4 separate regions of the Mus musculus genome follow, and all the other regions are reported to be linked to region 4. The links are microRNA targets in miRTarBase. Many come from high-throughput screens and were not tested one by one. Region 4 holds a microRNA gene; each other region holds the end of a gene's coding sequence.

Region 1 (7,708 bases), not on the chromosome of region 4:
CCAGCATTAAAATATTCAAGATGTGAGAAGGATTCTAGTAAAATTATAATCTTGTGTTTGACATCAGAATAATTTTCACAACAGCAGATTGATGACAGAAACACAGGTTTATGACTTGAGTATGAGACGGAAGATCAAGTGCAGAGAAATCATTCCAGGACCAAATGCTCCCTCAGAGCACATGCTTTTTGCAACTCCCCCCCGCCCCCGGCCCCCACCTCTAGGCCTGCCTCTTCCCCTGAAATGTCTGTCTCAGGGAAACATCTCAGGGTGTTGGGCGAAATCTCACGCCATCATGCACCTCAGAGGCCTCCGTCCCCGGCCTGCCTGACTCACAGCTAATGGTTAGTGTCCTGACCAAAGGCTGAAGTGCACTTTCCTCTCTTTGAGAAGGTTGTACGTCAGCTTTCTAACATTCCCTCCGTGCCTCAGCCAGGCCAGTGTCAGCTTTGTGCCAGAGCTCAGCTTCCAAGACCCCAGCCCAGCTCCAGAATTTGACAGAAATGTTAAGTTGAGGCTCTGTAGGATCCACCTCAGACTCAAGTAAAAATGAGAGTTTAGATCAAAAATAAATAGAGAAATTAAGACCCAAAGACTGTTGCAGCTTAGCCATCACAGACAGAGGCTTTCTGTAGGATGATGAAGGGGGCCTCAGTAAGGGCATGTCTCACACCCTGTATCCCATCTAACCCTCCCCACTGGCCTGCAGCATAAGGACATCATTGTCCCCATTTTTGAGGTGAGGAGATGGAGGCCCCAGGTCTCAGGGGATGCAGAGCCTCAATGGAGCCCGTGCTGCTTACGGCTGCCGTCCACCTTCCACATATGCTGGCGCACACAGGCCCTCCTTCCACTGGCCTGAGATGAATCTCTGAGGAACTGTTGGGCTCTTCACACCGGGTTCTTCTGTGATTGAGTGATGGAGGCTGTGGCTTTATTGACCATGAAAACTCCCTATATTTTTATGCCTTAAGCTGTAAAGTGCATCGAAAGTAAAACCCTCTATAGTGCATAAAATTGGGCACGTTTTAAGCCACAGCATATTAACCAGCTAATGGCAGACCAAAGGGCGTTTTTATCTTTTGATTATTACATTAATCTTGCATTAAAATTATCTATGTGATTATCACAAAGTACTGAAGATAATAAATTTAGGAAATAGTTGGCTTGTTAAGGACCATTTTAAAATGCTTTTGTCAAATTAAAAGTGCCAAAAATACACTACAAACGCCAGGTCAGCTGAGTGCAAGCACTGTACGTGGCATTTACCAAGCATGAGGACGCCTCCTGCCATCCCCACCAAGTCCACGCCGGCCCAAAGCACCCTTGCCAACCTACATCCTGATTTATGACTCTCAGCTGGTAAGTTGGCAAGGCTGCGGCCGGGTGAGGCGGGCCTTCTGTATCCGCATGCCTGCCTGTACCTCCTACTGTTGAAAGTTTGGAGGGACATTGTCAGAGCCTCAGTCTGCAACTGCCCTGCTCAAGAGCCTCTAGCTGCCTTCTCCAAACCAAGGCTGGGCTTTCTGGTGAGGCTTCGGAACGTGTGAGAGTGAAAGAATTGTGTTTTCACAAAAAGCCAGGCAGGAAAGCCATGTCTGAAGGTCCACAGGTGGCCCAGAAAAGACACACACAGCCAACTGAAGTCAACCCTGACCCCAGTGGCCTCAGCCCTTGCAGTCCTCTGAGCCTCACTTTGCGTACTTGGTCCTGGCTGGTAGGTGCAGCGGACAATAGAGGACACATGCCAGGCTATCAGGAGGCAGAGGATGTGCTGCCTCGCGTGTTTTCCTCGGGAGCTGGCTGGACATGTCTGAGAGTAGGCAGCCCTCTGAGACACCGAAGAGCACAAGCCTAGGGGTGGGTCAGCAGCCCCACTGCTCAGCAACTGAGAAGCCTGCACTGGGCCTCCATCTATATGAACCGAGGGCTTCCTCCTGGCCTGCCAGACTGCACCGTGTCAGAGCAGCTGCTCCCAGGATCCCTTGCCCAAACATGGCCTCCCTTCCACCCCAAGCTCTGCCCTGGGGGAACAGCTGGTGCTGCCAAGTGATGCCGTGTCCTCTTGCTTTCTAGGTTAACTACATCCTGGAATCACGAGCGAGCACTGCCCGAGCTGATTATCTTGCTCAAAAACAAAGAAAACTGAACAGGCGAACAAGCTTCAGCTTCCAGAAGGAGAAGAAATCAGGGCAGCAGTGACACTGGCCTCTAGTCTGGTGCCACAGCCCAGGTGGCCTGCAAGGCCAGGTGGACCGGAGTCCACCAGCATCCTGTAGTGCCGAGACCCGCAGGCACAGGCTGCTGGGCTCTAGGGGAAGGTTTAGAGGTAGGGGTGCGATTGGACTGAAACTTGGCAATGGTTCTAAGTAGCAATGCCCAGGAGCCAGGCCACCTCCTGGAGGGGCTGAGTGCTGCTCAGCCGTGTGTCCTGCCTGGCAGTCCCAGCAAGACTGTACATAGCCATGCCAGACATCTCCTTGCAACTTGATCAAATTTCTTAAAGCAAACAAAGAACAAAAGTGTACATTTCTCTTTCTTTCCTTTTAATAAACAGGTATACTCTTTATCGTGGTTGGTATGATGGACCATTCTTTGGGGTAGAGGATTGACTATATTATCTTCCTTAAAATCTGTTCCCATATTGAACAGGCAGATTACAAAAGCTGTGGTTGGAGCTCTCAGAAGCAATGTTTAGGGCTTAGCCAGTAGTTTAACTGTGCCATTTGTTTAAATAAGTGATTTGCTTTGAGAATAGCATCTTACTAAAGTTAGGAATTGAGGACCTAGCATGTGCCCAGCGTAAGTGCATGCGTGGGTGCGTGCGTGCGTGCGTGCGTGCGTGCGTAGCCTTCTAAGGCCTTCTCAACATGTCAGCGCCTGTGATCTGAGAGACAGGTGCTGGTAATATAGTGTGACAGTGTCTCCAAGTGGTGCTGAGTTCCCAGCCAGGGTCTTCTCTCATCTCCTCATAGCAAGTATGATATGGTCAGCCTGCCTCTCTGACCTATCTCCAATCCTCTTACCGGTGCCTGCTGTGGAGCCAGACGCTGCTGCTGCTGCTGCTGCTGCTGCTGCTGCTGCTGCTGCTGCTGCTGCTGCTGCTGCTGCTGCTGCTGCTGCTGCTATACTGAATCAGGGAGAAGGAGAGCAAGCCCTGGGCAGAAAAGGCAAGGTACCCAGCACCCTGACACCACACCACACCTCTGTCTACACCAGATGCCTCTGCAGACCTCACCATGGTCCCGCCTGTGGCAGCATCCTTGGGCCAGGGCCACAGCCGATATCTTATACGACCTGTGTTTAGGACATTTTTTAAATCATTGTGTCTAAGCATCTCAGAGTCAAGTGTGCTTCTTTGCAAAGGGGTCGACTGAATGAATGCCTCTCTCATTCTGATCTGTTCAGCCAACAGGAGCACCCTTTTCTAATGTCTTCCATTCCTATCTCCCCCCAAAAGAAATATTATTTGTAGCTTGCTCTGTATTTGAATTTTTAGCAATTTTATATTTAGATATCTTTGAAATTGTAAATGACTAATTTGGTCATTAAATCTTGTCACATATTCAATATTAAAATACTAAAATAAAAGTCATAAATACCCTCTTTTGTATATTGCTTTGAATTCCTAAATCCTTGCACACACGGTGCTGAGATGGTGATGTCACAGCAAGTCCCCGGGGGTGACACCCTGGCATTTGATAATGCAGCACACACTGCTGATATGGTGATGTCATAGCAGATCCCTGGGGTGACACCCTGGCACTTGAAAATGCCCAGCCATGCTAAGCTGTACACAAGCCACGTCTAGTCGTCCTTTACTCCCGGGACGCTGGGATCTCTGGCTCTGCTCTCCACAGTTGCTGGCACATGGCTCTCAGCTGGTTAGGTTCTCAGGGGTTTGAGTTGCCTGGTGTCACAGTCCACGGCTGTGATAGGTGGGCGGCGGTGGCCCTCACTCCTTGGGCAGTGGTGAGCCAGCCTGCTGGTTGGTTGCATTTGCCATGAAGACGCTTCCCTAGGACATCTGATCTCAGGGGTGTCAGTACTGTCTAGCCTAATCTCTGAGCCTCAGCCAGCACCTCTGGCTACAGTGCTGTCAAGCCCCATGGTGTCCCTATTGGCCAACGTAGTCATCCTAACTACCTATCACCTACCTGCTGACTGTAAGCCCTCCAACTGGGCATGGTTAGCCAACAATGTGGCGATACTCTGCTGATGTGTCCTTCCCAGCTTATTATTATCCTCATGGAGTCAAAGGCTGGTAGGTAGGCAGCCCCACCGCTCATATCCCTTCTAGCTGCCTTCAGGGGCTCCCCATCTCCTTAGATCCAGGGCTGTAACACATGGGAGTAAGGACCAATAAAGTTATGCAGTCCCTCACCAGAGTGCACTACAATCCCAGCTGTTCCTGGTTGCTGGGCCTTTATGTGAATTACTTGACTCCATTGACCCTCAGTTTCCCCTTTTGTAAAATGAAGGTGAAACTGGTTCCTTTCTAGGGTGCTTGTGAGGGTTCAATATGTTCGCTATTAAGAGTGGACCAAGTCACCTTTAATTCCATCACTTAGGAGGCAGGAGCGGGTGGATCCCTGGGGAGTTCAAGGTTAGCCTGGTCTACAGAGAGAATTCCAGGCCAGCCAAGGCTACGTATTGAGACCCTGTCTCAAAACAGAAAGGGAGATGGAGAGATGGTTCAATAGTTAAGAGGATTGATCACTCTTCCAGAGGACCCAAGGTTCTGTTCTCAGCACTCATATGGTAGCTCACAATTGTCGATGACTCCAGTTTCAGGGGATCTTGTGCCCCCTTCTGATCTCTTTGGATATCAGGCACACCTGTGATGCTCAGACATCCATGTAGACGCAACACCATACACATCAAGGGAAAACATTTTTTTAAGATGTATTTATTTTATATATGTGAGTACATTGTGATGCAGTCTTCAGACACACCCTCTGAAGAGGGCATCAGATCCCACTACAGATGGTTGTGAGCCACCATGTGGTTGCTGGGAATTGAACTCAGGACTTCTAGAAGAGCAGTCAGTGCTCTTAACCATTGAGCCACCTCTCCAGTCCCAAGGAAAAACATTTTTAAACCACCCATCCAAGTACCGCACAAATCATGGCATGCACAAGAGTCACACCACAGGGTGGGCATTAACCACCTTTGGAATTTTTGAGACTATTTTTATCACATTTTGTTCTATGGGTGGCAGGTACACACATGTGGAGGTCAGAGAACAATTTGGAGTTTGTTCTCCTTCAGCCATGAGTCCTATGCTCAAACTCAGGTCATGAGGCTTGGCAGAAAGTGCCTTTACCCTGGGAGCCATCTCATCACCCTGCCTTGGTGATGTCTACCAGTGCCCACCCTGGTCTGAATTTCACAGGCTGTAGGCTCACATTTCTATTTCACAAATCTTGGCCACCCCAAGCCAAGCCCTCCCACACTTTACAGATGAGGAAAGGAAAGCCACTCGTGGTCCTGGCCTGCTTTCCTTCTGTTGGTGTGATAAACACTGACCAAAAGCAGCTTGAGGAAAGAAAGGGTATGTTCATCTGTGAGTTCTAGGCCACAGTGCGTTGTGAGATAACCTGGAGGCAGGAGCTGATGCAGAGGCCAGACTGGCACCCAGGACCACCTACCCAGGAATGGCACCACCCTCAGTGGCCTGGTGCCTTTCACAATTATCAATCAGTGATGTCCCCAAGCTTGCCTGTAATCTGGACTGAGGAGAGCAATTCCTCAGTAGAGAATCCCTCTTCCCAAGTGACCAAACACACGTCCTGTCTATCCACCCATCTGCCCCCAGCCCACTGGCAGGCAGGGAGTGGGCAGCTGGGAGGCCCAAAGCACGAATATCTGTCTCCACCACACTCCTCGGAGAGCTGCAGAGCCCCTCTGGGGAGCGCTGTTTCTTGTGGACCCCCCCCCCATGCCAACAGTGCTCTCAGTGTGACGGGCAGGAGGGCTCCCATCGCAGTGGCTGCCGCTCACTCACCTCCTGATGAGACAAACACATGCTGAGGTCTGGAATCAGAAGTTAATGTGCCCATTTATTCATTTTTCTGACAAGTCACAATAGATTTTTAACTGCCAATGAGTAACCTCCCTAAGGTGCGGTGGCCGTGAGTGGTCATTTCCGCCCAACATCCCCTGCTGGCCGCCTCTCCTGGATCCAGGCCAGTTCTGCTCTCTTGTGCACCCCACCCAGCCTCCTCAAGGTTACCAGGAGATGGCTCCTGCAACGCAGCACACAGGACCCTACAGCCAGGGATCCAGTTGCCTGTAAGGTGGAGGATGCGAGAGGCTAACTTGTAGTGGAGTTCAGGCAAAGGAGGAAAAGAAAAGGCTAAGCTTGCCCCCTTCCCCACCCCCACCCCCGCTGTAGCCCAGGGAGCCAACTGAGGAACCCACAGAGGAAATTAACATCTACCTCCCTGTGCTGTGCTGAGCCCACACCCATGACTCAGCTCTCTGAACCCCTTGTCTGCACAAGCATAGCCACGTCCCACCGTCTGTGAAATGAACACAGTGATGTGCACGGGCCTGGCGTGTGCATTGGGGCACAGGTAAGAGGTAACTGTGCAGCCCAACCACGCACAGAACACACTGGCCACCCCGTCCCACCAGCAGGGCCTCCTCAGTGCAGGGCAGACCCTGTCTGAGCTTTGCCTCCAAGAGCCCCAGCCAGCAGCTGGCCCTGCTCTCTTCCACCACATCAGCTGAGCAGCCCCAGGCAGGCCTTGCATCTACACACAACTGCTGGGATCCGTGGGAAATACTGGAAAGCTAATTCTTTTTAAACAGATAAAATCCGTCTGTGGTACAGCCCCCAGCTTCCTGAAAGCTAAAAGTATTTTAATGTCATATTTCCATGCAAATTTTAGTTTAGAATTTAATACCCTTTTTAACATACATTAAATTTTTAGCATTCTTCAAGCCCTTGACTGTGTTAAGAACTTAACTGATGTGTGTTGGGGAAGAGGGAGAAAAAAAAAAAAAACAGCTGGAGGAAGCTGTAAATTAAGAAAGTTCTAGAAGCAAGGTTACCACAAATCTTTATGGCCACCTCCTTTGGGGTGATATTTTTCTGCATGAACCCTAGCATGCTGGGGAAGAGTTGGAAGACTGCAGTCCTCGTGGGGACATCGACTGTGACTGGTAGCTTCCCTGGGAGTGGAGGGTCCCCACAGGAGGCTAACAACATGGCTTTGCAGCTACACAGCAGGTCTCAGCGTTGCTGTGCCATTTGCTGCACGAGGCTCTTGCTTGCTTGGCTGTCACCTTACCTAAGGTTCAGGCACAGGACTGAGTAGAAAGGAAAAGAGAAATTTGGGGGTGCTGCATAGAATTGGGTGGTTGCCTTGTTCAGGGCCCAGGAGACAGCATAGGGTTCAGGACAACAGTGTCACCCACTTGCATTTAAAGAGCAGAGGAGGCCTTGGGCCACAGGAGCCATAAACGGGTCCAGATTCCATGGCCTGTGCAGCGTAGCTCCTGAAAGCCTTGGCACCAGCCTAGCAGGGCACATCTCCTGAGGACAGGAAGCTGCTAAGTGCCCAGCCAGATTCCTGGGAGTCCCAGCGTCTGAACAGGCAGCACGGCCAGGCCTAAGGGCCATATATGCCAGATCTTCTACAGGGCAGAGCTGCAGAAGCCTCAGCCAGCCCCAACCAGTATCTTTGTTATGACTTCCCCA
Region 2 (7,708 bases), not on the chromosome of region 4:
TAGTTTTTAACCTTATCTTTGAGTCTAATTTATGTAATGGTTTAGAATATTGCTCTTTAATTTACGAACCTCAGCCAAAGTGATGCGTGTCACAAGCCGTGCCGGACGAGCTGCCTGAAAACACATTTTCACAGAACTGTTGTATCACACCACAAAGCGAAGCTTCGGGTGTAGGTGAAGACTTGGTATATCTGATGAGTGTCCTTCAGAATGGCAGACCCTGCCTTGTCACTACACCAAGACTTACACCAGGGGGGCGCCCTGCCCTGTCACTAAGCCGGGACTTCTCCCTGGCTGCACCAGTGCCATTCACATACACACCTTCCATCGGGGGTCTGCTGCCAGGGACAGACACTTCCTCTTGTCAGTGAAGTTTGCAGTAGGGTAAATGAGAAGTCCTTTCTGCCATGAGGTGGGGTTCTCCCTGTGCCGCTCTAAGATTTGGTAAGGAAGGTCATGTTTAAACCGCAGGCATTTACATTCCCGTCTGGTTCTTCCGTAGCATCATTGGACTCCCAGGAGAGGAAGACTGGCCTAGGGACGTGGCCCTTCCCCGGCAGGCTTTTCATTCCAAATCTGCTCAACCCATCGAGAAGTTTGTGACAGATATTGACGAACTAGGCAAAGACCTACTTCTGGTAAGTTCCTGGGATGCCGTCACCTTGTGCCCCAACCATGTGGCAACGACGTGGCGTGGGAGGCTGTATTTGTTTTTGTGGATTCCGTTTCCAGCTGGTGAGTTTTGATTCTGCAATGTCTTCCTAACCCAGCTCTCAACACTTGAATGTGAATTTGGACGAAGCTTTATGAGACGCTAGGTTCCTTGGGCAAAGGCTTCTTGACAAGAAATTGCTTTTCTTCGCTTGAAGTTTCATGCCACTTGAAGCAACGTGCTAGTCGCATCTTTGCAAAATATTTCCCCCCAAAGGAACCAAGTAACCATACTTGTAGTTATTGATTTACTGAATAAGTACCTTGTGTGCTATTCACATATAAGATATCCCATTAAAAACAAGATCCTAGGGCTGGAGAGGTGTCTCCGTTCTCAAGAATATGTATCATTTTTGCAGAGGGCCCAAGTTCAGTTCTCAGCACCTGTACCCAGCAGCTTACAGCAGCCTGGAACTCTAGCTCCAGAGACACTCTTGGCCCCACAGGCGCTTGGGTTCAAACGCACATTCCCACACACAGAGACGCGAATACTTATTCTTAAAATGAAGTTTTTTTTTTTTTAATAAGCACTTTTGTATTTTGAAACTCAAACTCCTCGTTGTTGGTGTTGTGTATAATGTCCTTCCTGCAGACACAGAAGGCCCTCTTCCTTCTGTTCTCAGAGTCAGAGCCCTATGAAGAATAAGTCTGTTATTGATCCTGAATTAGGAGCCCGTACTCTTGATTCAGACCGTGGGTCTATCAAACCTGCATGTGTCTGTGTGTCTCACCCTGCCTGGTGGCATGTTTTTCTCATGGAGGCAAGTAGAACCATGACCAAAGGCCTAGGTCAGTTATGTGGTCAGGGCAGCTTGAAGAAAGGTGAGAATGTTCAACCCTTGAGTAAGTTGTGATACTAGAAGGTAATTTTAAGTCAGGTGTCTGGTAATCACATTAATTGTTTTTACGGAAGCAGCACTTCTTGTGTCGGGGTGTTTTACTTTAGTTCATGTCGTGCTGGTGACTTTTCTCCCCAAATAGAACTGTGGAAAAATTTTAGCCACCTTTTCCAAGACTTCCCCCAAGGTCCAGGGTTGGCCGTGCTATGTTTCACACCAGATGTTCTCTGTATTGCAGAAATGCCTGACGTTTAATCCAGCTAAAAGGATATCCGCCTACGGCGCCCTGAATCACCCGTACTTCCAAGATCTGGAGAGATACAAGGACAACCTGAACTCTCACCTGCCATCCAACCAGAGCACCTCGGAGCTGAACACAGCCTGAGGTTCCACGGGGATGCCCATGAGCTCGTCATCTGAACACATTGGCGGCTGCGAGTCCCCTAAGCAAGCCTCTCAGAGCAGTTGAAGATTGCTGGCTGCCAACCTTCTGGCTGCCAGCTTCTGGGTGGGCTCTGCCTTACCAAGGAAACCACCTAGTTTACTGTTCAGAGATCAATGCAAGGGTGATTGCAGCTTTATGTTCGTTTGTACACTTGTTTGTTTTGTCTGTTTGTTTCAAGAACCTGGAAAACTTCCAGAAGAAGAGAAGCTGCTGACCAATTGTGCTGCCATTTCGTTTTCTAACCTTGAATGCTGCCAGTGTAGGGTGGGAATCCAGGCCCAGCTGAGTTATGATGTAATCCGCCTGCAGCTGCTGGGCCTGCTTTGGTACTTGTGAGTGTGTGTGCATGCGTATGTGTGTGTAAGAGAGAAGAGGAGGGGAGAGAAAGACCCCTGATCTCGTCAAGTGTTACTTTTTTTTTGTAGAAAACAAGAATAATTGAGTTTTAAAGAGTAGAGGTGACTGATAGTAAGAAGGGCTTGTTCAGTGAAAGGTGATTCACAATGGAGTCTTGTTAGGAAGGTTGGACCTAAGTCCTCAGAGTTGCCTTCCTGTCCAAAAGCTTTTGCTAGCAGTAAACAATAAAGGTTTAGATGCCACAAAAAATGGGGGGAACCACAATATTTTTTAAGAGACTTTTTAAGGCATACATCTTCTATTTACTCTTTGGAAAGCTGAACTTAATGTGTCCCAGGCCCTATATATAGTACAGTATGTACTTAATTGTTTCTTTGGGGAAAGATGCTATAAGTATCTTATTACTTGCAATACATTTAAGGAGTGAGTGTACCTCAGATAGGTTTTAAAGATAGAGAGCACCTGTTTTCTGGTGTGAGATGTTATCATTTTCTTCACGTCTCTTGATACCTTGATACCTTGTCACCTTAGGGAATCACTTCCTGCTCTGACTAGAGGCGGGAATACCATCTAGCTGTCTCCACCACCCACCATGGCGCATCTGCCTTGTGCTGCCTTGTGTAGTGCGAAGCTCTCAACCACCAGCACTTCTAATTCATTTTCCTGCCACTGCCTGGCTAACGACAGATGGCCCAGCTGCCCCAATCCCACACCCGCTTGCACGCTTACCGTCTTTCACCGAATGCTTTGGGCGTAGGCTCCCATTCCGAAACCCTAACAGTATCCCCTTGTGCCTTTGTAATACAGTCTTCCCCCTGCCGCAGCTGAGGTCACCTAGGCAGTGAAGAGTGCTTGTTCTGTGTGTGTATAGACTACTACCGACTGTCACTTGGTGTTTCCTATCTTTAAGTGTATGTTGTCAGTGTAATGTCTGAGGAAATGTCTTTTCCTCTCTTCTAGAGATAACTACTTACTCTCTAAAGTGATCTCTCTGTCTGTCCGCAGGATGTGTTTCTGGGTTTTTGTTCTTTTTTTTTTTTTTTTTTTTTTTTTGTCTGAGGCCTCATGTCAGCCCTGCTTTCTGCAGAGCCAGCCTACCCTGGGCATTATAAACAACTGTACCTTACTGTTTTCTTTCAGTCCTTTACATTCTGTGCCACCTTTGCCTTATTATATCCGTGGCTTAGTGCTAAGCTGGCACTACTCCATAGAAGGTGTAGAAGGCAGCTTTCGGGAAGCGTAGCTGAGTTTTGTTTGAATCGTGTTTGAGCACATTTAAGTAAACGCTAGATGATGCTTCACTGTAGAGCTTTGAAAGACTGCCTGATGTTTCACACGGCAGTGTAGGCTCCAGATGGTGTTTGTATGTTATGGACCTTACTGTGTTTCTCGTAGCTGAACAATGCATGTGGTTATTTGTTTGTTTGTTTTTTGGTTTCTCTGTGTAGCCCTGGCTGTCCTGGAACTCACTCTGTAGACCAGGCTGGCCTCGAATTCAGAAATGCGCCTGCCTCTGCCTCCCAAGTGCTGGGATCAAAGGCGTGCGCCACCACGCCCGGCTTTGCATATGGTTATCTGTATGGAGAAGAATTAGATGTCTTTCCTGAGAGCTTTGGAGGTTGGGAATCATCTTCTTCTGTTTATTTTTATTTTTAACATTACATTACATTCTTCTGATTCAGTATCGCAAGAAAGGATTTTTTCTTTTTTCAAAAACAAAACTTTAAGAAGCCAGAGGCTAGGCTGAGAATGTTCTGCGCTCGTCCTCACAGCTCTGCTGCCGACACTGCCAACGCTCGAGACAGTCAGCCTGGAACCTCTGGGACAAGGTCTACTCGAGGTCTCACTTGGACAGCGAGTTCTGCCTTGTCATTGAACAAGGTCCAAAATACAGACATTTTTGCTAGGGCCTAGAAATCGACCATAAAACTCACTGCATTGAGGCCTAATCCATTCTATATTAACATCCATGTGATAAAGTGAAAATAATTTTGAGGGTTTTGCTTTCGCCAAAAAAAAAAAAGAAAGAAAGAAAAAAAAAGAAAGGAAGAAAAAGAAAAAAGAAAGGATTGTTTTCCTTAGCTTTGCTCAAGAAAAATACAGCTATCCTAAACTGGAATCTTCCCGTATTCTTTAGAGTCTTAAGTATAGAGTTTAACTTCACTTTTGTCAGCTGTCTTGAGCTTATTTCTAAGTAGTTTTGTTTTGGCTTTTGGTGAGTGAGGTAGTGGGAGGTTAATTTTGGGGTCTTTTTTTTTTTTGGCTTTGTTTGTGTGTGTGTGTGTGTGTGTGTGTTTATGTGTTTGGCTTTTGGGTTTGGTTGGTTAGTTGTTTAGTTTGTTTTTTTGTTGTTGTTTAATTTGCTTTTTCTAGGCAGGGTTTCTCTATGTGGCCCTGGCTGTCCTAGAACTTGCTCTGTAGACCAGGCTAGCCTCAAACTCAGAGATCCACTTGCCTCTGTCTCGAGTGTGCTTGAACTAAAGGCATGAGCTACCCTCCTCAGCCCACTCCAAACTTTGAGTAATATTTTTAAATCATAGACATGTTGGTATTAGAAACATGGCGTATTGTGGTGGATGGTAGAGAAAGGGCGCCGCAACCTCTCAGGACATCATATGTCTGGCCAGCTCTTCATTCATATAGGTGCTCTCTGGATATGTCTTTACATCAGACTCACACCTCTGAAACCCGGTTTTCACACAAGGAGACTTGCCATTGGGGTCTTTAGTAGCCCAGGGAAACATAGAGTAAACTGAAGAGCTTACTGTGTGCCGCTTATCCTTAGATGGCCTCATCCAGTCACAGGTCTTTGTCAGAATCTAACCATTGATTCACTGAGGAGACCCTACTGCCCTGAGGTTCCACTGAAGCAGCTTTTAGTGAGACTAGGGCAAGAATATACCGAATAGCTTCTGTTCAAGGTTTGGTTCCAGAGACTCTACCATTTACAGGACTGGCTGGAGTTACAACAACCTCTTAAAGAGGGTAGGGCGGGTTCTCCAGTTAGACCCCCTAACCTCACAGGTGAGTAGTCCTAACCTGACAGCCTTAGAAACACAGTTGCCGAGTACCTGAGAGCACCCAGTGGCCCGCCGCCTCCTATTCAGCCCCTCTTTAAAGACGACAGACGGTTAAGCCATGGAGAAGCTGTTCAGGTAGCACGGGGCCATTTCTGCCCCCAGCTTGTCATGTTTTTTCTCTCAGGACCCACTCTCTGACCAGTAGACTTGAATTTAGCCCCAAGTGATTTACTAAACTCAGCTCAGAAGCTCACTTAAAAATAGGACCTCCACATGGTCGTGCTAAGTAAAAATGAAGACCCCAAGTTGCACAGGGTGCTGCTATCTCAAAGACAATACTTTCCTTTGAATAGAAAGCTGTGCCGTCCACCCTGCAATGGGTGCTAGCCAACTTGCTTGAGAAAGTCAGGAGCAAGCATTTTGAGTTTTAAAGAATGTCCTGAACTTGTCTTTTAAGTAAACATAGCTGCTTTATTAAAAGCTGTGACTACTAAAGCCAGTCACAGCCATCGTCACTGTGGGAGTTAAATCATGTCAACTTTCAAACATCACAGTTGTTTCAATCTTCTGTCCAAAGAACTCCTCTTCTGGAGAAAACCTGATTTTGGTTTTGGCTTTTTGTCTTGTCTTGTTTTGTTTTTCCTGAGATGGGGTCTCTCTGTGAAGCCCTGGCTATCCTGGAACTCAGTGTGTAGACCAGGCTGGCCTTGAACTCATGTAGATCTGCCTGCTAAAACTAAAGACATGCACCACCATGACAGCTGACTATTTTTTATGATGAGCACAGAAGTGGCTCACATTTTCTTAAAGCACACTTTTGTCACATAGTAGAGTCTAGGAAAGAATAACATTGAAAATCCCCATCCCAGTGTGACACTTGTGTAAGCACATATGGATAGCCATTGGAAGAATACATGCTTGCTTGTAACATGAAATTAAAGACATTGTATAATTTCTTAATCTTTAAAAATTACCAAAAAAGTGGCAACAGTATGTTTAAGGTTATTTTAATTTTTACATAAATTGTTAACCATATTTGTTTGCCTTTAAGTATATTCTAAGAATTATAATTAAGTATAATTATAAGTCATCCCGCACATTCAGCACTTATGGACTAGGTATGTCAAAATACACAAATTCTGTATTTCTTGTTTCATAGGAAGAAAGCAGCCATCTGAAGCTCTACTCATATATATGCCTAAGAATATCTATACAAAATTAAAGTTTAAAAGGCCTTTGCCTCTCGTGCAGCTGAGAATAGACAACTTATAAGCCTTATCCAAAAACCATGATAAAGGGATCATGTGCATCCTTACAAAAACCCCTTATCCTGTGCATACTTACATCCAAGTACATCCTAAGGAAGGTGTCCGTGCATTCATCTGCCACAGTGGGGAAGCTGCCTGGTGCAAGGTGTGAGTCCTGGAATGATTAGTGATAGTGGTCTCAAATGAGGACACCTTCGTCTCCCACCAGTTTCCTTCCTATGGACAGGCTCAGTCCAGTTATACAGGCCAGGAGGGGCTGGTGCCCACAGCCTCCCGCCTCTGCAAGGTAGGATTGCATATCTCAAACATCTCTAACTCAGTTTCGGCTTTGTTGGTCTTGTTTAAGGAAATAAGCCAGTAAGCCAAAACTATTTTTGTTGTTGTTCTCTTGTCTTCTGAAAGAGAGGGGATATCAATTTTAAATGTTTCTCTCAATTTGATCTTTCAAATTTTTCTAATAAAGTGCCAAATTGCTGCTGCTTCTTCTTCTTCTTTCTTCTTCTTCTTCTTCTTCTTCTTCTTCTTCTTCTTCTTCTTCTTCTTCTTCTTCTTCTTCTTCTTCTTCATGTTTTCTGCTAGGGTTTTCTTGTTTTGTTTTGGTTTCAGTTTGTTTTATTTTCAGCAAGTTAGGTAACTTGAGAGGACTTCCACTAGGATGTTCACACCTCTGTGCTCTGGTCCTCTGACCCCTCCAAAAAATAGCCACCTGGGAATAAATGCAAGCTCCCCCCCTCCAGCATCTACCAAAATACTGTTGCAGCAATTCCAAGTTCAAATGGTGGGGATGGAAGGTAGTTTGGAGTTGGGTTGGGTTGGGTTGGGTTAGGTTGGACAGAAGTCAGTTTTAAAATTCACAGCGCCCTAAGGTCAGTGTGGGGTTTATTCCTCTATCCCAATGTGTTTCACAAGGTGGCGCTTTCAGAGAAAACTCTAAACCTGACCAAGACTGAGAGGTATTCTAGAGACAGTACTTGTAACTATTTTCCTGCACATCTGTAACTATCACCTAGCATATTCCTTCAGACAATTAACAGCCTTCATAATATTCTACAGCTTATATGTTTTGCT
Region 3 (7,708 bases), not on the chromosome of region 4:
CACGCACACTCGTGTCTCATTACAGTTGTCCCAGACACTCCACACTGTTGTTTATGTTCATTGTGACCATGACATCTTTTCATTTCATGTGCCAGTTAGCAAACATCCAAAACCTGATATGGTGACACTTGCCCATACCCCCAGTACATGGGGAAGTAGAAAAAGAAAGATAAGTAATTCAGGTTGTCTTCATCTATGTAGAAAGTTCAAGTCCAGCTTGACTGACTTCAAGCCTTATAGATGGTTATACTACACATATTTAATTTTGTGTATTTTTTCATTTCTTTAAGACATAGTCTATATAGCCCAAGTTGACTATGAACTCCCTGTATAATCAAGAAAATAATTGAGACTATCAGTGTAATGATTTTACTTTCCACATATATATTTCTCTTATGTATATATTTCCCATGTATATAAGATCTATCATCTATATTATATGCTATACAATTATATATAATATAAGTATATACTATATATCTTAATTACTCTGACTTCTGTATTCATAGAGACGTTCTGGGATGAAGATACGTGTAGTAGCTCAGTTGGTATACTGCTCCTCTAGTATGTATAAGGTTCTGAGTTCAATCCCCAGTACCGTGTAAGCTGGGCATGGTTGCACAGACATGTGATCCCAGCACTTGGGAAGTAGAGACAGAAAGATCAACAGCCATTTAGGGTTGACTACATAACAAGTTTGGGGCTAGCCTGACTATGTGAGACCCTGTCTCAAAAGATCTCTACCCATAGTCTCACTGTAGTCGGTAGGAGGGTACTTTAGAAGGCAGGAGGCAGGCGAGCTCCAAAGGCCCGTGGATGCTGTTTATATTGTGTGGCCTCATGGCATCCACCTACTTACATTATTTCTCAAACCCCACGTGGGCTAAACAAAATGGTTAGAAGGAACCCAGCCTGGGAACTTGTAAAGGAGAAAGTGTTATGAGTCAGGGTTTGTGTCTCTGAATTTCATCACAGCAGAATCACATGGACCATAAAAGAAGCAGTTGCCTATCCAGATGGGCACATTGAACTATAGACTTCGACAAGGAAAAATGAAATCTGTTTTGTCTTGGCACAGCCATAGTAAGATAAGACACGGCAGCCAACAAGTTCTACGTCAGTGATCTAGTCATGGAGAGAGCAGGAGAGGAAACAAAACAGGTGGAAATGGAGACAAGGGTGCTGTGCTAGGGTCCTCACTGGGACAGAACAGACTGAATGCATGTCACAAAACAGCTATTAGATTGGCTTCCATGACTCAGGCTGGTGAGTCCAACCATCGTCCTCTGTATGCTGAAAAGGCCGAGACACTGGGAGCTTCTCAGCCCACCATGCCTCTGCCTCAGCAGTCCCCACATGGCAGTTTAAGGGCTAGACTCTAGGCCCTGAGCAGTAGTTCTCAACCTTCCTAATGCTGGGACCCTTTAAGACGGTTCCTCATGTTGCAGTGACCCCAGCTATAAAATTATTATTGTTGCCATTTCACAACTGTAGCTTTGCTATTGTAACTGCTTGTAATATACTTTTGAAGATAGGGGTTTGCCAAAGGGGTTGAGAATCACTGCCCTAGAGGATTTCGAGAGAACCTCAGGTCTTCAGCCTGTCCTGGAAGGTTACAGAAGCTGGGTTCCAGTGTCAGCAAATGAGGATAGCAGTGGTGGCAGATGCACCAACAAGGCAGATGCACCCACCAGCCGGGACAGAAAGCAGTAGGCCAAAAGCAGCAACTTCTCTCCCAGATCTCCTTAGGCCTGGGCCACAACAAGGAGGTTCTGCCCACACCGAGGGAGAGTCACCTCTTTCCCCTCCAGGTCATGTTTTTAGGAGACATACTTATGGATGTTTCTAGAACCCATCTCATCATTGTTTCTAGAACCAACTAGATCAACAACCAAGGTTAACCATCAATACTCTGTGTGCACAGCAGCAGCCTGAGCAAGCTCAGAAGGATCCTGACATGCGTTCCTTATTTTAAATGCATGTCCTTCTGCATATGTAACTTCCCTGATGCTCTGGTCTTATGTCTATGCAGGTTTTTGATGGGAGTGGATCATTTTTGTCCTATATCAACACATCTGCTGACCCGCTCTATGGCCCCCAGGGCCTGGCTCTCACTTCAGATGGCCATGTTGTGGTTGCAGACTCCGGAAACCACTGTTTCAAGGTCTACCGGTACTTACAGTAACAGTGGACAGCTCTGTACTGAGGTCTTGCACTAGAAACTGGAATGGAGTTCTCAAGGTGGGACCAGACTACGATAGGACTTTTCATACTAGGAAGAATCTTCGGTGAACTTCCCAAGGTTATTTCTGAATGTAACCATTTCTTTAAAAACTGTCTATCCAATTTCCGTAATTCACTTTTAGGATTTAAAAAGAATCTTCTTCTACTGAATCTATACAAACTGCGAAGTTTTACACCCATGAACTATGGCTCATAGGACAGGGATTTCTGTAGTTAAACTAATTTTGCAAATCAGACGTTAAAAAGAATTAGCGTATCTGTTGACTGGTGAATGAATGATAGCCTTTGCATAGAGCTTCCAAGAACAAAACTTGTAGTTGCCTATTTTATTTAACTTCGATCACAAGACCCAAGGGACCTTCTAACCTCACTTTTACAGTAGGTGTTATTATTCTGGTGACATGTTTTTGCTTATCAACAACCACATATAAATTACCTTAGAAAAATCCAAGGCTGTCTTGCAAGATCCTTTCAGTTCAACTCAGGCCCTGAGTTGAGCCCATCAGAATCAATGCAAATTCCCCAAATTTCCTGGGTTTGATCAAAGATCGTTTCCATGTGTTCTCTTCACCTTCTCATTTCTGCTCACCTTGCATCAGAAAATGAAATATATTTTCAGGAAAACCTGAAATTCCCGATGCTTTGGAAGGCACGTAGCAAAAGCAAGGGGACTCTTTGGTTACTAGCTTCAGATCAACACACTGGAATGGAATCAAGAGAAGTCACATTCATGTGCCATGCGTTCATGTGTCTTTCCTCTTCCACATCACGAAAGCGAAAGCTTTACCTCCTGCAAAACGTCAGCACATGTAGTCAGACGCCAGTGTCCTAGGACAGAGAGCCATAAGCAGCCCTTTGGAGGATGGATGGTGTCAACCAAAGGCATGTGATTGATTCATGATTTCCCCTTAGAGAGCAAGTGTTACCAAAGTTCTGTTGAGCATTACAGGTAAGGGCATGTTGTGGTTATTTATCATTGTCTAATGAGTAGTAGAGGCATTAAGGGGGCAAGTATACATGGTTAGGGTAAGATAGAATGTATTATACATATATATATATATATAAATATATAGCTGAGTCCTTGGTGTGCGGGAATAGGCAGCACTCTGAAAGACAGAAGCATTGTCCAGCCATCCTTCAGTACATTCCCTGCCTGTTGCAGTCTGAAGCCGTCCCTGGAGAGTGAGCCCCACAGCAGCTTTCTGTGCTGCCATTTCCTGGCATGATGGTGATGTCTGGCTTCCAGTCAAATTACCTTCTTTGTGTTCAAGAAAAAAAAGAAAGAAAGGAAGAAAAAAAGGAAGAAGGGGAGGAAGAAAGAAAGAAAGAAAGAAAGAAAGAAAGAAAGAAAGAAAGAAAGAAAGAAAGAGAAAGAGAGAAAGAAAGAAAGAAGTCTTTATAACATTGAGTTTGAGTTACCTTTCATTTAGGTATAAATGCATTTGAGAAACATTACCTGTCATGGATACTGTAAACTAAGATGTGTTCTCTTTCCACTGATTTTCTACTCAGTTCTACCAAATAGGAATGTTGTGCTTTGCATGTTTGATGATGACGCTGTGATGTCATTCACCGAAAGCACCTTAGATATCTACTGTAAAAGACATCTTCCCTTAGATACAAATGATGATGTTTATGGCTTATTATCTTAAAATTCAAATGTTCTTGACATAAATTTTTTAAAAAAATTTAGAAGGGAAATCTGGCTACTTCCAGTGGTCTATTTAATTCATTATGCCCAAATCAACATCTGGGTGGAAAAACTTTATTTTCAGAAGATTTACATTGGTATTTAGCTTATTATTATTTTAGTTCTGTGGGGTTTTAAAATACACAAGCCTGTCTTTACTAGACATAAAATTTAATACCAATTTTAGAACGATAAGGTAAGACTGCTTCTGAATATCATGAAATAAGTCTTTGATATTTTGGTTGTAATTTTTTTTTCTTGGTGCTGGGGATGGTACTCACGGCCTCAGAGATATTCAGCAAGAGCCCTACAGTCGGGCAGAGCCTGCAGCCCAACCCTCAGTATGAATGTCAGTGTTTCTCCCTCCAGGCTTCCGACCAGGGGCCAGGAATGCATCTAGGCACTGGGACCAGAGGGATGCTTAGAAGAGAAAGGCATCTCTGCCCTTGTACAGCTTATACTCTGGAAAGGAGACATCGTTGTGCTTTAATAGTCTGCCTGCAGGACTGTTTCTGTTTCTGGGCTACTTAAAAGAAAGCTTTTTTTAAAAAAAAATGAGTAAATTAATTGTAGAAATTAAAAATGTAAAAGTAGAAATTTTGTTTTTGTTTTTTGTTTTCCAAGACGGGGTTTCTCAATGTAGCCCTGGCTGTCTTGGAACTCACTCTGTAGACCAGGTTGGCCTCGAATGCAGAAATCCACCTGCCTCTGACTCCCAAGTGCTGGGATTAATGGCGTGTGCCACCACTGCCCGGCCAGAAAACATTTTTTAAAGAGGCTGCCATGGGCTGTTTTTGGTTGGTTGGTTGGTTCTTTGTTTTGTGGTGCTGGAGATGGAATCAGGGCTCTGCAACTGAGCCACACCTCCACGTTGCAACTCTTATTTTGAAAATGAATTTACCAAATGAGTTCTCATTTTGTACAATGTTGAGATATTTGTGAACTGAGAAATTAATTCGTAAATGAATCAGCTGCACATATAAAATATCATGTCAGGCTTGATAGCTCAATAAGAAATAACACAAATTTTTTTTTCTTAACACACAAATATTGGTATGAACTGGAATGAAAGGGTAATTTAATTTAGACCTGTTCCACCATTGGCTACTAAAGCACCTGCTGTGGGCACTGCAAGAAACACTACATTCTACACCTGGGTACCTGTGTGTGTTCACTGTATTTCTTTGTGGTAAGCGAATTGGGGGTTGGGGGTGGAGTGCTGCTACTAAGATATAAATAGACAAGGTCTAAATGGAATTTTGTCTCATTTGGTCAGAATGGTTTCTGGTAAACTGAGAAGGATTATTACAATAAGTGGCTTTTTTTGTTCTAGGCTACTGTTACTGTCCAATTGATCTTCGTTGAGTGTATAGAACCCGTCACACATTCATGATACGTAGCACTGAGAAAGTAAGCGTTCAGCTTTCCCTTGGGCACTAAGGACAAGCAGTTAGGTTTTATAGGTTAACGATAGTGTGTCTTCTCCCGCCATAAACCTCCCTTGCTGGACACAGGGTGGTAGGGAGTCACTTTGACTATCCAGAAACACACAATTAGAAAGTTGTTATGACTGTTTGCTGGTGTTTAAATGATGTGTAAGATTTTGATGAAACTTTAGTCTCTGTAACCAAATAAGCCCCCGAGTTTCCTAAACTTGACAAAATTTGAGGCAATAAGCACCCCTGGTCCATGCAGCTGTTGCACATCTGCTCCCACTACATGTACAGGGTATGTATGTCCTCACGGGGAATGAACTGGAATAGCGGGACGTAACCAGGTATATGGAGCCTCGCTCTAAAGGGTTAGCATAAATGCTTTGGTAATACCTACGGAGGAAATTGGAGAGATCAGATCAACATCAGGCCATCTGTAGGTCACATCAAATGGGAAAAGTCTCTCTATGCATTTGAACTGTAGATCACCCTCTCTGTTCACCAGCTTCTGAACAGGGAAGAGGAATTTCTGTTTTTGGTGAATGCTTTTAAAACAAGACCTTTTTCCAAGTAGGATAGCATTGAAGCTGCCTGATGCAAACCTTTCTAATTTCCCTTAAAATCAAAAGTCCTAATACTGTTACTTTATGTAAATGTTGCAGGGTGTTTAAAATTTTACAATTATTTTAATATTTTTGATAACTAGGAATCTAGTATTGCCATAAAGGAAACTAAGTGCCCATTAAATATTTGTTTGGTATAAATAAATACTTTTTTTTTTGGTTTTGTTTCAAATGACAGTAAGCTACAAATCATGACGCTAATCTTCAAAAACACTTTCTAATGAACTGTGTGGTAGTTGATTGTGTGGTCTGTTTGTGGAGAATGTATGGATGCGATTCATTAGTATTCTAGAAGAGATTAATAATCAGCTATGTTGTTCCAATGAATGTACAGCACTTCCATTAACTTTTGAAAGCAACACAGCCTTAACCTCATGCTTTTGCTTTATAACGTGGGACGTTGTGCTATCAACACAGTACCCTCTGCTAACGTTCTTTCTCACCATTCCTGACTGCAGCCATCGGAGGCTGCCTACGAGAATGGGGGTTGTTTGTTCCCTTTTCGTTTCTTTGAAGATTTTGTACATTCCACCTTGACACATCTGTCTCATACATTTTGTGTACAGACCACTGGTCTTGTGTTTTCTGCCATTGATAATGATATAGCCTCCTCATATGTTCTTTTATGAATTGAAATGCTGACTGCCTGTTTAAATAGAAGAACGGACGCCGTGCATCAGTGTGTTTGTATGTTCGTAGCTACATCCGTACCACAGTATTTTGGATGCTTTAGTCTATAAAACTTTAAATTAATTCTGTCTTGAAACACAGGAGAAACAAGACTCGAGTGTATATCGTTACCATGCACAAAAGTCTCAGATCATTATAATAAAGCTTGTTCTCTCCACCTGCAGACTGAGTGTTTATTCAACAGATTGCCCCCTGTGTGAAGGGGAGTGGGAACTATCGCGCTAGAACATATGGAAGATTGCAATGCCTTGACGCAACTGTTTGGAGTGGAGAAGAGAACCTGAGTGCCATTTCTGTGGGTTGTGCTGCTCACCACTTGCTAGTTGTTAGATGTGTCTGAAACAGGAGTTGGGGAAACCTTGACACAATGGGCAGTGTGCTTACTTGTAATCCTCAATGGATTTCAAGATCAGATGGCCTTCTGCTGGCCATGGCAGACACTACTAGGGGCAGGGACCCAAGAGGGACCTCACTACAACTAGTACTTCTTGGATCAAGAATATAGTGACACAGAGTTCATCATGGTAAAGAATTCTGTATTATTCTGTATTATATCAAATGGCCAGATATGTACTTCAAGCCACAGAACCATCTAGAGAATAGGTCAAACGGTCCTCTGGGAGTTCAGTGTCTGGTAGCTTGATGGTAAGTGTGTGTGTCTATTCTTCTTAAAGAAACTTGTTACCACAGTCCTCAAATTCAAGAAAACACCTCTCAAACAGTGTCTCCCTGTGCCATATCTGAGCTGTCATGCTCATGTCATGTTTTCTACTTCAGAACAGACTGGAACTCTGAAAGAGAGGGTTAGAGTTAGCCTTACACAGAGAGATAAAACAACAGAAATGAGAATAAAGACCCAAATTGACATTTCTGGCTACTGACTGTAATAATATTTATTTTTATCAATTCCCATCTTTGTTTTTCACTTTTTTAAAATTATTGTTGTTTCTTATGTAGCTCAGGCTGGCCCCGAGCTTGCACTGGGCCTCCTGCTTCCCACCTTTCACTTTTCCTCTTCTCCAGGTATG
Region 4 (7,708 bases):
AGGGTCTCCGCAGGAAATTCAGGCTAGAACTCTTATGGAAGGCTTTGGAATGAACATAGTGGTTAGGATGAGATGGGGTCTTGAGCCTGGGAACACAGTTGTTTTGTTTTCTAATTTGATAGACCCTTCTACCCAGATGTTTGTAGACAGGAATTTTCAATGAACATTAATATGAGCATTGGTCGGAGTAAACAGAGAGGACAGAGGAGAAAGGGCAGGAGGAACCTGGTAGCTAAGTACTTCATTCAGAAGCTAGGCAGGGACCACACCCTTAGATTTTGTTTGGGGAGCCTTGGGATAGAAGGACAAGTTTCCTTTGAAGAAGAGGGGCAGAGCTGAACCCAGGTACAAAGCAGGAGCTCTTTGAGTTTGGGGTTTGGAGCATAGCAGTTGTGCAAGAATGGACCAGCATATCTAGGCCTGAGGCCTCTCCCTTCTGTTCTTGGGGGTGGAGTACATTTTGTTTGTTTTATTGGTTTTGATTTTTTTTTTTTTTAAGCAAACGTAGCAAACAAAACTGCAAACCAACTGGGGGTTGGGGATAGCTAGGGACCCTGGATGACGATGTGGCTTTACTTTGTGAAGATTATTTGGTCTCTATCCAATTTTCATCTCCAAATTTGAGGTGAAAACATTAAGGGCTTTGATGTCAGGACAGAGTTAGCTATTCTGAGTTTTGGGGTGTCACTTGCCATAGAAGTTATTGTAGTCAATAAGGCCTGTTTTTAGTCTCGACAGCTGATAGCAAATTGGAGGTGCGGGGCTGGTTTTAAAGATGTCTTAGTTCGGGGGTTTGGAGGGATTTGATGCTCCCATGTGAGACTGTCCATCTCTAATTTCTGGTCTACTGGGGGAGCATGAGTACGCAACTAATTTGGGGGACATAGTCTCTTTCCAAGTGCTGTTTCAAGGTTTGGATGAGATTGTTTGGGGACATAAAGGTCAACTTGGGGCTTTTTAGAGAGCCCAGTTACATTGAGTTGGTGGCAGAGCCAGAAGCTAGGAGAGGATCTGAAGGCTTTCTGTAGCTGAGAGCTTGATTGATGGGGGGGCAAAGTTTTGTATTTGAATCTTGTGGAAACTCATTTTGAGGGTTGGATATTCCTGTGAACATGTTTATGTGTGAAACTCCTCCACAGGAGAGAATTGAGAAGCCCCCCCAGGGTAGAAGGATAGTTTGGGGGGTATCCAGTTTCTGGGTGTTTTGCCACTGGCCACATTTGGTGAAGCTGAGAGGTGGGTCATAAATTGAAATTGATTTGGAGGTTCACCTATTCTAAAGCACACTTCTGACTTAGGTTATCTTTTGCTGATAGTCCCCTGGCACCCCAGATTGTAAAAAAAATTAGTGAACCCCCAAATAAGGCCAGAATTTGAAGGGTGAAGCCTGGAAAAAGCAGTGTGGTCCATCATAGACTCACTGGAATATGACCTGTTGTGCTAAGGGGGGAAAGGTGGCTTCATACTCTGAACCCCGATTTCTTATGGAAGAAAAAATCCGTTTGGAGGAGATGGGGTGTCTCTTGTTAAAGTGGGTACTTTCTGACTAACAGTGCTGCTGAAACTGGCAAGGAAAGGCTGTGATGGTCTACAAGGGGGGGGTGAATCTTGCACCCTGATATTTTAAGATAAGAGCCCCAAAGAGAAAGCAGACAGAGGATTGGGAATGAGGGTGAACTGAGAGGCGGGGGAGGGGTTTCCAACGGCAGCAGGGGCTAGAGGGTAAGCCAGGCCAGATATTCCCGCCTAGGTCCCTGCTCTCTTCGGCTCTCCTCCCCTCTCTCCCTCCCACCGCCCACCCCCCCAACTCAAGGAAAAAAAAACTGCCTGTGCAATAGCAATGGCAGATTCCAGTCCTCCAGGCTTTCCTAAACCACCACCGAGACCAGCCAGGGGGGAGGGGAGGGGAGGGGAGGATCGGGCTTTCCTGCTTCCTTGAGACAGGGGCAATGAGCTTGACCTCTTGGCCCCTAGCCTTCTAAAGAGTGTCCCCCGGTCTGGAAACCAGGTGTCCTGGACCCTAGCCCCCAAGCGGGGGGGCCTGGAGAAACGGGGAGGAGGAAGGAGGGAGTGACTTCCAAAATTGGCATCGGGACAGAGCAGGGCTGGCGGGAGGCAGGAGAAAGACAGAATTTTCCTGAAAAAACGGGGGTATCTAAGGACCCCAAATTTGGGTAGCTAGTTCAGGACCATCTTCCCAACATCCTAGATTTTTTTGGGATTTTTTGGGGGCCCCGGGATCCCTCTAGATGGGGTGAGGAATGTAGTGTTGGGGGAATCTGACTGGGGCAATGCAGCTGCCTCTCCCGCCGAGTTGGAGACGGATGGGCTGGGACGGGTTTTGGGGGGGTGTCCCCAGTTCTGACTGGGAGTGGAGGAACCCCTCCAGAGCTCTCTTGTGGGGGTCCCCCACCCCAGGGCACTCCCCAGTCCTTGAGCCAGCTGAGAGGAAGGAGGCCAGCGATGCGACTGGGGCGTCTCTTTTCTCCTGCACCCCAAATGTGAGGGATGCACCCCAAAATTTGCTCCTTTCAAAATAGGGGACCAGGATCTCAGGGGAGAGTAGCTGAGGTAAGTGGGGAGGAAAGTGTCCCCTGTTTTCAGGAGAGACGTGGCGGTTGGGGGGGAGGTTTGGAGGTGCGTGCTGGGGTGGGGTTGCGCCTTGTAACTCTTGAAATTGGGGGGATGACCAGAGAAGCTTTCTCTTGTACCCCTAAGACGTAGCACCTCATACTGAAACCAAAGCTTGAGACTTGAGAGCCCCCAATATTCCTACAGACATTAGGACAGTGTTTGCTTTTTTTTTTTTTTAGCCCCACAAAAGCTTTGCTGGGATGGGAGCTGGGGGACAGCAGTTGTTTCTGGGGGTCCAGGAGGGTGCAAGGAGCAGGAGGCGTTGGCAGGGCTTGATATAGGTGATCTGGTAGTCTTGGAGAGGGTCTGGCATACTAGGGGGGCCTAAAAAGATTGCTTCACACACCATCTTAAATCTTTTGATTGCTAAGAGTTTTGGGGGGGTGTGTCGGAAGCCTGGTGGTGCTAAAAGGTGGGATGAGATATGGGAGGTTAATATCTAGGGTTTACAGAGTTTTGTTTTGTTTTGAAATTTCCAGAAGAAACTTTTGCCTTCTGGGAGGTTCTTTTTAAAATCAAGTCTTGGACAGGAGGAAAGGGCTATGGGAAGGCCTAGGGTTGGGGGTGGGGAAAAGGCATGTTTGTCTTTGCTTAAACGTGGCTCTCAGGGGTGGGCCTGCTTGCCTGGGCCTGGTGAATGGGCTAATGAGTGTTGCTGTGTGGGTGGGGCGTGGGTCTTGGGGGACCATGGGGAATGGAAGCAGCACTTGGGGTTGAATACTTTGCCCTCTGGTCCAGATGAGCCTCTTCCTGGGCTCTGCTGCATCCCTTTCTCCCTGGCCTCCATTTCCTGCCTTTGGCCTCCATCTTGTGGCAGGCCCAGGGCCCAGGGCGACTTCCGGCCCCCCTCTCTCAACCGTGTTCCAGCCCCACCACCTCTGGACTGCCAACTCCCAACCCTGCTGTCCTTGGCCCTGTGTCTTCCAGCATTTCTCTTGGGTTCTGACCTAGGGAGGGAGGAATGGACACAGGAAACCTTAGGTCCCTGCCTTTGTGGGAGGCAGTTTGTTGGTCTTCCCCAGTCATCCCGTTTCCTAAGGATCCCCAGAGCTGAATTCCTACAGAGGTGAAGAATGCTCCAAGCTTATCACATTGGACTCATCTGCCAGGGCCCTATCCTTTGCCTGCTAAACTACTTTTGCTGGTTCCTGATTGTTCCCCCCCCCCAGCTTTTTTGGGGGGCCATGTTTGCCATTCACACCTCTGTCTCACTCTAGGTGGGGGTCTTCACGGCACTGCCTGTGCTGTCTTCCTCTCGACCCACCCCAGTCCTGCCCCCGCCCCAGCAGCACACTGTGGTTTGTACGGCACTGTGGCCACGTCCAAACCACACTGTGGTGTTAGAGCGAGGGTATGGGAGGCACCGATGAGCCTGGCCCTGGGAGGCCACCCTGGAGAAGCAACACACACACACACACACACACACACACACACACACACACACCGTCTAGGGTATTGTGATGAAGTTCTTGCAAGGTGGGACAGGAGACACTGGAAAGAGCCCCTCTGCAACCCCCAGGTTGTCTGATACCAGTTATCAGGAACCCTGGTAATGAGTTCTGGCCCCACAGAGCAAAGTAGAGTCTTTGTTGCCCACACCCAACTCTCCTGGCTCTAGCAGCACAGAAATATTGGCATGGGGAAGTGAGTCTGCCAATATTGGCTGTGCTGCTCCAGGCAGGGTGGTGAGAGCTACTGAGAAGGGGCCAAGCCCCGAGGGCGAAGCAGAGGAGAGGGAACGGCAGCTGGCAGCACCATGTTGAGAGAATCTTTTTTAATTATAATTTTCTGTATAAAAATGTCCATCACACAGAAGTCAAAGGGCGAGGGCACATGGTTATCAGGAACGAGGTGGATGGCTCCAGCAGCCCTCTGACCCTCTCTCAGGCAGTCCTTGCTTAGAGTCCCAGGTGATCCACAGGTCCAGGGTGAACAATGAGGGTCAGAGGTGGAAGGCTCAGCAGGAGAGGAGAGGAGCATCAGCGGAGGTGGTGAGGAGGCCAGAGTCCAGGGTCAGGCTGTCTGGAACAGGAAGGAAAACGGACAGAGATGGAGCAAGCGTGGAGGATTTTTCCAAGAAAACCCTCACCTCCTCAAACGCCGTATTACTAACTGACCCATTCCCCTGCACTGAATCTTCCTTCTGAGGCCCCTGCACCAGAAAGGGGTTTTCTGTGGGGACCCTCCCCTACCATCCAGGTGAGTATGTTCCCCACCCCCAGCCAGCGTGGGAGGAGGAGGACTCCTACCCTGGTCAAAGTTGAGTTTCTTGGCTGGAGGAGTTTCTCCTAGCCCTTCGACATCCACCAGGTCACTGTTGGCGTCGGAGTCGTTCAGAGCACTGAGTGTCACATCTGGGAGGGGGCATAGGCTAAGTTCTAGGTTTCCCTGACTGCTGTCTTTCCCTCCTCCCAGTCTGCCAAAGCTTCATGCTCTACACATCCCTCTACCCACTCTGGAATCACCAGCGTACAGAAGAGAAGCGTCTCTCCTTCTTTGACCCAGGCCCAATTCTCTTATTGAATCTCAGATAGGACCTTTAACCCCTACCCTAGGCAGCAACTCCACAGCCCTCACCAGCCTTCTGTTTCTTTATGGGAGGAACCCCAGCTTCAGGGACACTGGAGCTGCTGGGTGGAGGGGCGTTTGGAGGTGAGAGGACACCGGACGTCATCTTCTTGGGTCCTTTCTTGGGTGACTCAGCTGGAAGGGGGATGCCGGAGTCTTCATACACTTTTCGCTTCACAGTGGTCTTTATCTGAGCCCTGAAGATGAGAGAGAGCAGATTAGGGTGTCATCAGAGAAGCCGAGGGAAGAGGGGAGGGGAGGGAATAATGGGCCACTCTGAAGGAATTCTAGGAGTTCCTTTGTAGATATCCAGGTCAAGGCCCCAGTTCATGTGTAATAAGGGTCCTCCCCCCCCCCCCCACGTTCAGAACTTTTGCATCCACTTAGGGCTAATAGATTAAGATGAATGGAGTCCCTGAACTGAGTGGCCAGAAAGGCCCTTTTCATGATCCTCTGGGAGAGATGCATGGTTTTGTAGGACCACCAGGTATGTTGTGGTGACATAAAGGTAGACTGAGACTGTCATAGAACCTGACCAACTAATTAGTTCAGAATGCATCCCCTGGACATGCCAGTTTCAAAGGATTTACATAAATAGCTAGGGAACTCTTATCATCAAACACAACCACTGAGTATCTGGGCACCATGAAAATAAAGTTCTCTGCAGGCCCTAGTGACCACTGCATTTCCTGATCTTCCGACCAACTGCCACAGTGACAGTCTCTCAGTCTTCAAGGAAATGCTAACAAAACTAGGAACAAAGTAGGAAAGATGCTGAGCTGGGAGTTCTGAGAGAGAACAATGGGTCAGGAGGAAGAAAGTTGCCCACCCTCCCCTTTCTCTGCCAGCCACCCTCCCTCACACTGTCCGTTCCTTGATGACACAGCTGATGTGATTAAGATCGTCCCCAAAGCGCTTCACAGCAGCCCTCAGCATCTCTATCTCCGTCTCCGTCCACTTGGCACTGTCGGAAGGGGAGAAGGGTGATAACAAAAGTGGAAGAGGGATGTGTGGAACCAGCCCACAGGCTATTCCGTCCACAGCCAGCAGCCTCTTCCCCCTAGTCTCTAGGGGCACCTTTCAAAGATTCATAAAAAGGACCTCCTTTTAAAAAAAAAAAAGCCCTGGGGACAAATCGCTGGCCACATGAAATTACATCCAGGGCCACTTGAAAACATCACTTCATCATGTAACAGCTTCCATAAACAACCCAACGGAAACCAATGAAACAAGTAGGGGCCTTACAAACACAACCCTTGAAAGATGTGTGGCAGCAGTTTGAGGGAGTCCACAGGGCTTGGGGTAGGTGGCAGACATTCTGTCGGTTTGCAGTGGAGGGCTGTGGCCTCGGTAGTCTCTTTACCTGTCATCCACTAATTCAACAATTACCACCTACACTGAGCTGGGCCAGGCACAGGGGAATTACTCTATCTCCCTGCTCTAGAGAGGGTCGTGTCTGTGACTTGAGTCCAAGCGTCTGATCTCGGAGTCCAGGTCCTAGGCTGGTCTCACGTACCCGGCAGGGGAAGAGTCCGAGACTGGATGCAGCTGCATCGTCAACTCCCCGAGCTTCGTGAAGGCGGCGCCGGCCGCGGAGAAGATCTCTCCAACCTGGGGGCGGAGCAGCATTACGGGGGGCCGGCAGCGCGCCGTCCCACCCCAGCCTCGGATCCGCCCGCCCCCCGCCCAGCGCGCACCAGCCGGGAGCCAGGCAGGGGGCCCACCCTCCCGTGGCCGCCAGGGAGCGCAGTCCGCGAGGGAGGTCGAACCTTGGTGGACGCTGACGTCATGGCCCCGCGCACCTCCTCACGGAGACGCTCCGCCGCCACCACCACCACGCGAGCTGGAAACCACGGAGAGCCCGGCAGCCGGCCGCTCGGGCTCCCGCGCAGGAAGTCCCGCCCTCCCTGCAGCTGATTGGCCGAGACCCGACCTCTCCCCAGTCACTCAAGGGGCCTCGCCGCGCGGAGGAAGACGAGGTGGAAGACGTTGCTTCACTTCCGGCTAGCTTCATTCCACTTCCGTCGGAGGGTCCGGACTCCTCGATGAGGCCGGTCTCAGCCCCTTCCAGCCCGGGCCCGCCCCTCCCTGAAAGCACAGACAGCAAGCTTAGGGGGAACCGCTTCTTTTTATTGTAGTTCAGAACGGGGCGCGGTCACCCTCGGTCTCCTCCAGAGGCTGGGCGCAGTTTTGCAGGGCCAGGGATGACGTCTCGCTAGGGTCACAAGTCCCAAAGGACGCCAGATGAGTGGGACGGAGTCTGCGGAGTCTTTAAATAGAGAAGGGGGCTGGGGAGGGAGAGGCGGACCGCGCTCTAGCGCACCATGTATTCCTTGCGCTTGTTGAGACGAACTTGGCAGAAGGAGAAGCCTCCGAGGAGGAGGTAGAGGCCCGCGGCGATGAAACAGTTGTAGCTGACTTGCTCGTACAGGTTGTATATGTTCTGAGGACCGTTCCTGAAGGTGGCGAGCGAGCAGGGAAATGTCAGCCATTCAGAGCATCCAAT

Evidence for each region. Region 4 holds the annotated microRNA mmu-miR-195a-5p (UAGCAGCACAGAAAUAUUGGC, at 4,250-4,270, shown strand). A microRNA usually pairs through its seed, bases 2 to 8, with sites in the 3' UTR of a target mRNA and lowers its output. Matches are read on the target gene's strand: a 7mer-m8 pairs with bases 2 to 8, a 7mer-A1 pairs with bases 2 to 7 and ends in A, and an 8mer does both.
Region 1: the mRNA of Mapkap1 is a reported target of mmu-miR-195a-5p. Seed matches in the 3' UTR shown: 7mer-m8 at 2,413-2,419, 7mer-m8 at 3,052-3,058, 7mer-m8 at 3,055-3,061, 7mer-m8 at 3,058-3,064, 7mer-m8 at 3,061-3,067, 7mer-m8 at 3,064-3,070 and 19 more.
Region 2: miRTarBase lists Cdk6 as a target of mmu-miR-195a-5p. Seed matches in the 3' UTR shown: 8mer at 5,689-5,696, 7mer-m8 at 7,112-7,118 and 7mer-m8 at 7,115-7,121.
Region 3: miRTarBase lists Trim2 as a target of mmu-miR-195a-5p. Seed matches in the 3' UTR shown: 8mer at 5,152-5,159.

The regions. Positions count from the first base shown.
Region 1 is chr2:34,621,347-34,629,054 of GRCm38, forward strand. Mapkap1 (mitogen-activated protein kinase associated protein 1) reads left to right here. Exons shown (of 12, transcript NM_177345.4): 12 at 2,077-3,612. The coding sequence ends at 2,202. Among named protein-coding and RNA genes, the nearest start is that of Gm34372, 14 kb to the right of the region's middle.
Region 2 is chr5:3,518,857-3,526,564 of GRCm38, forward strand. It overlaps Cdk6 (cyclin-dependent kinase 6), which reads left to right. Exons shown (of 8, transcript NM_009873.3): 7 at 503-638; 8 at 1,789-7,708. The coding sequence ends at 1,935. Among named protein-coding and RNA genes, the nearest start is that of Fam133b, 21 kb to the right of the region's middle.
Region 3 is chr3:84,159,574-84,167,281 of GRCm38, reverse strand. Trim2 (tripartite motif-containing 2) reads left to right here. Exons shown (of 12, transcript NM_001271727.1): 12 at 2,033-6,843. The coding sequence ends at 2,185. Among named protein-coding and RNA genes, the nearest start is that of Mnd1, 7.6 kb to the right of the region's middle.
Region 4 is chr11:70,230,813-70,238,520 of GRCm38, forward strand. Mir195a (microRNA 195a) reads left to right here and starts at 4,230; the gene lies at 4,230-4,323. 0610010K14Rik (RIKEN cDNA 0610010K14 gene) reads right to left here and starts at 7,102. Exons shown (of 6, transcript NM_145758.1): 1 at 6,972-7,102; 2 at 6,719-6,813; 3 at 6,065-6,166; 4 at 5,212-5,399; 5 at 4,884-4,988; 6 at 4,392-4,652. The coding sequence starts at 6,992. The coding sequence ends at 4,648. Mir497b (microRNA 497b) reads right to left here and starts at 4,004; the gene lies at 3,880-4,004. It overlaps Mir497 (microRNA 497), which reads left to right and starts at 3,905; the gene lies at 3,905-3,988. It also overlaps Rnasek.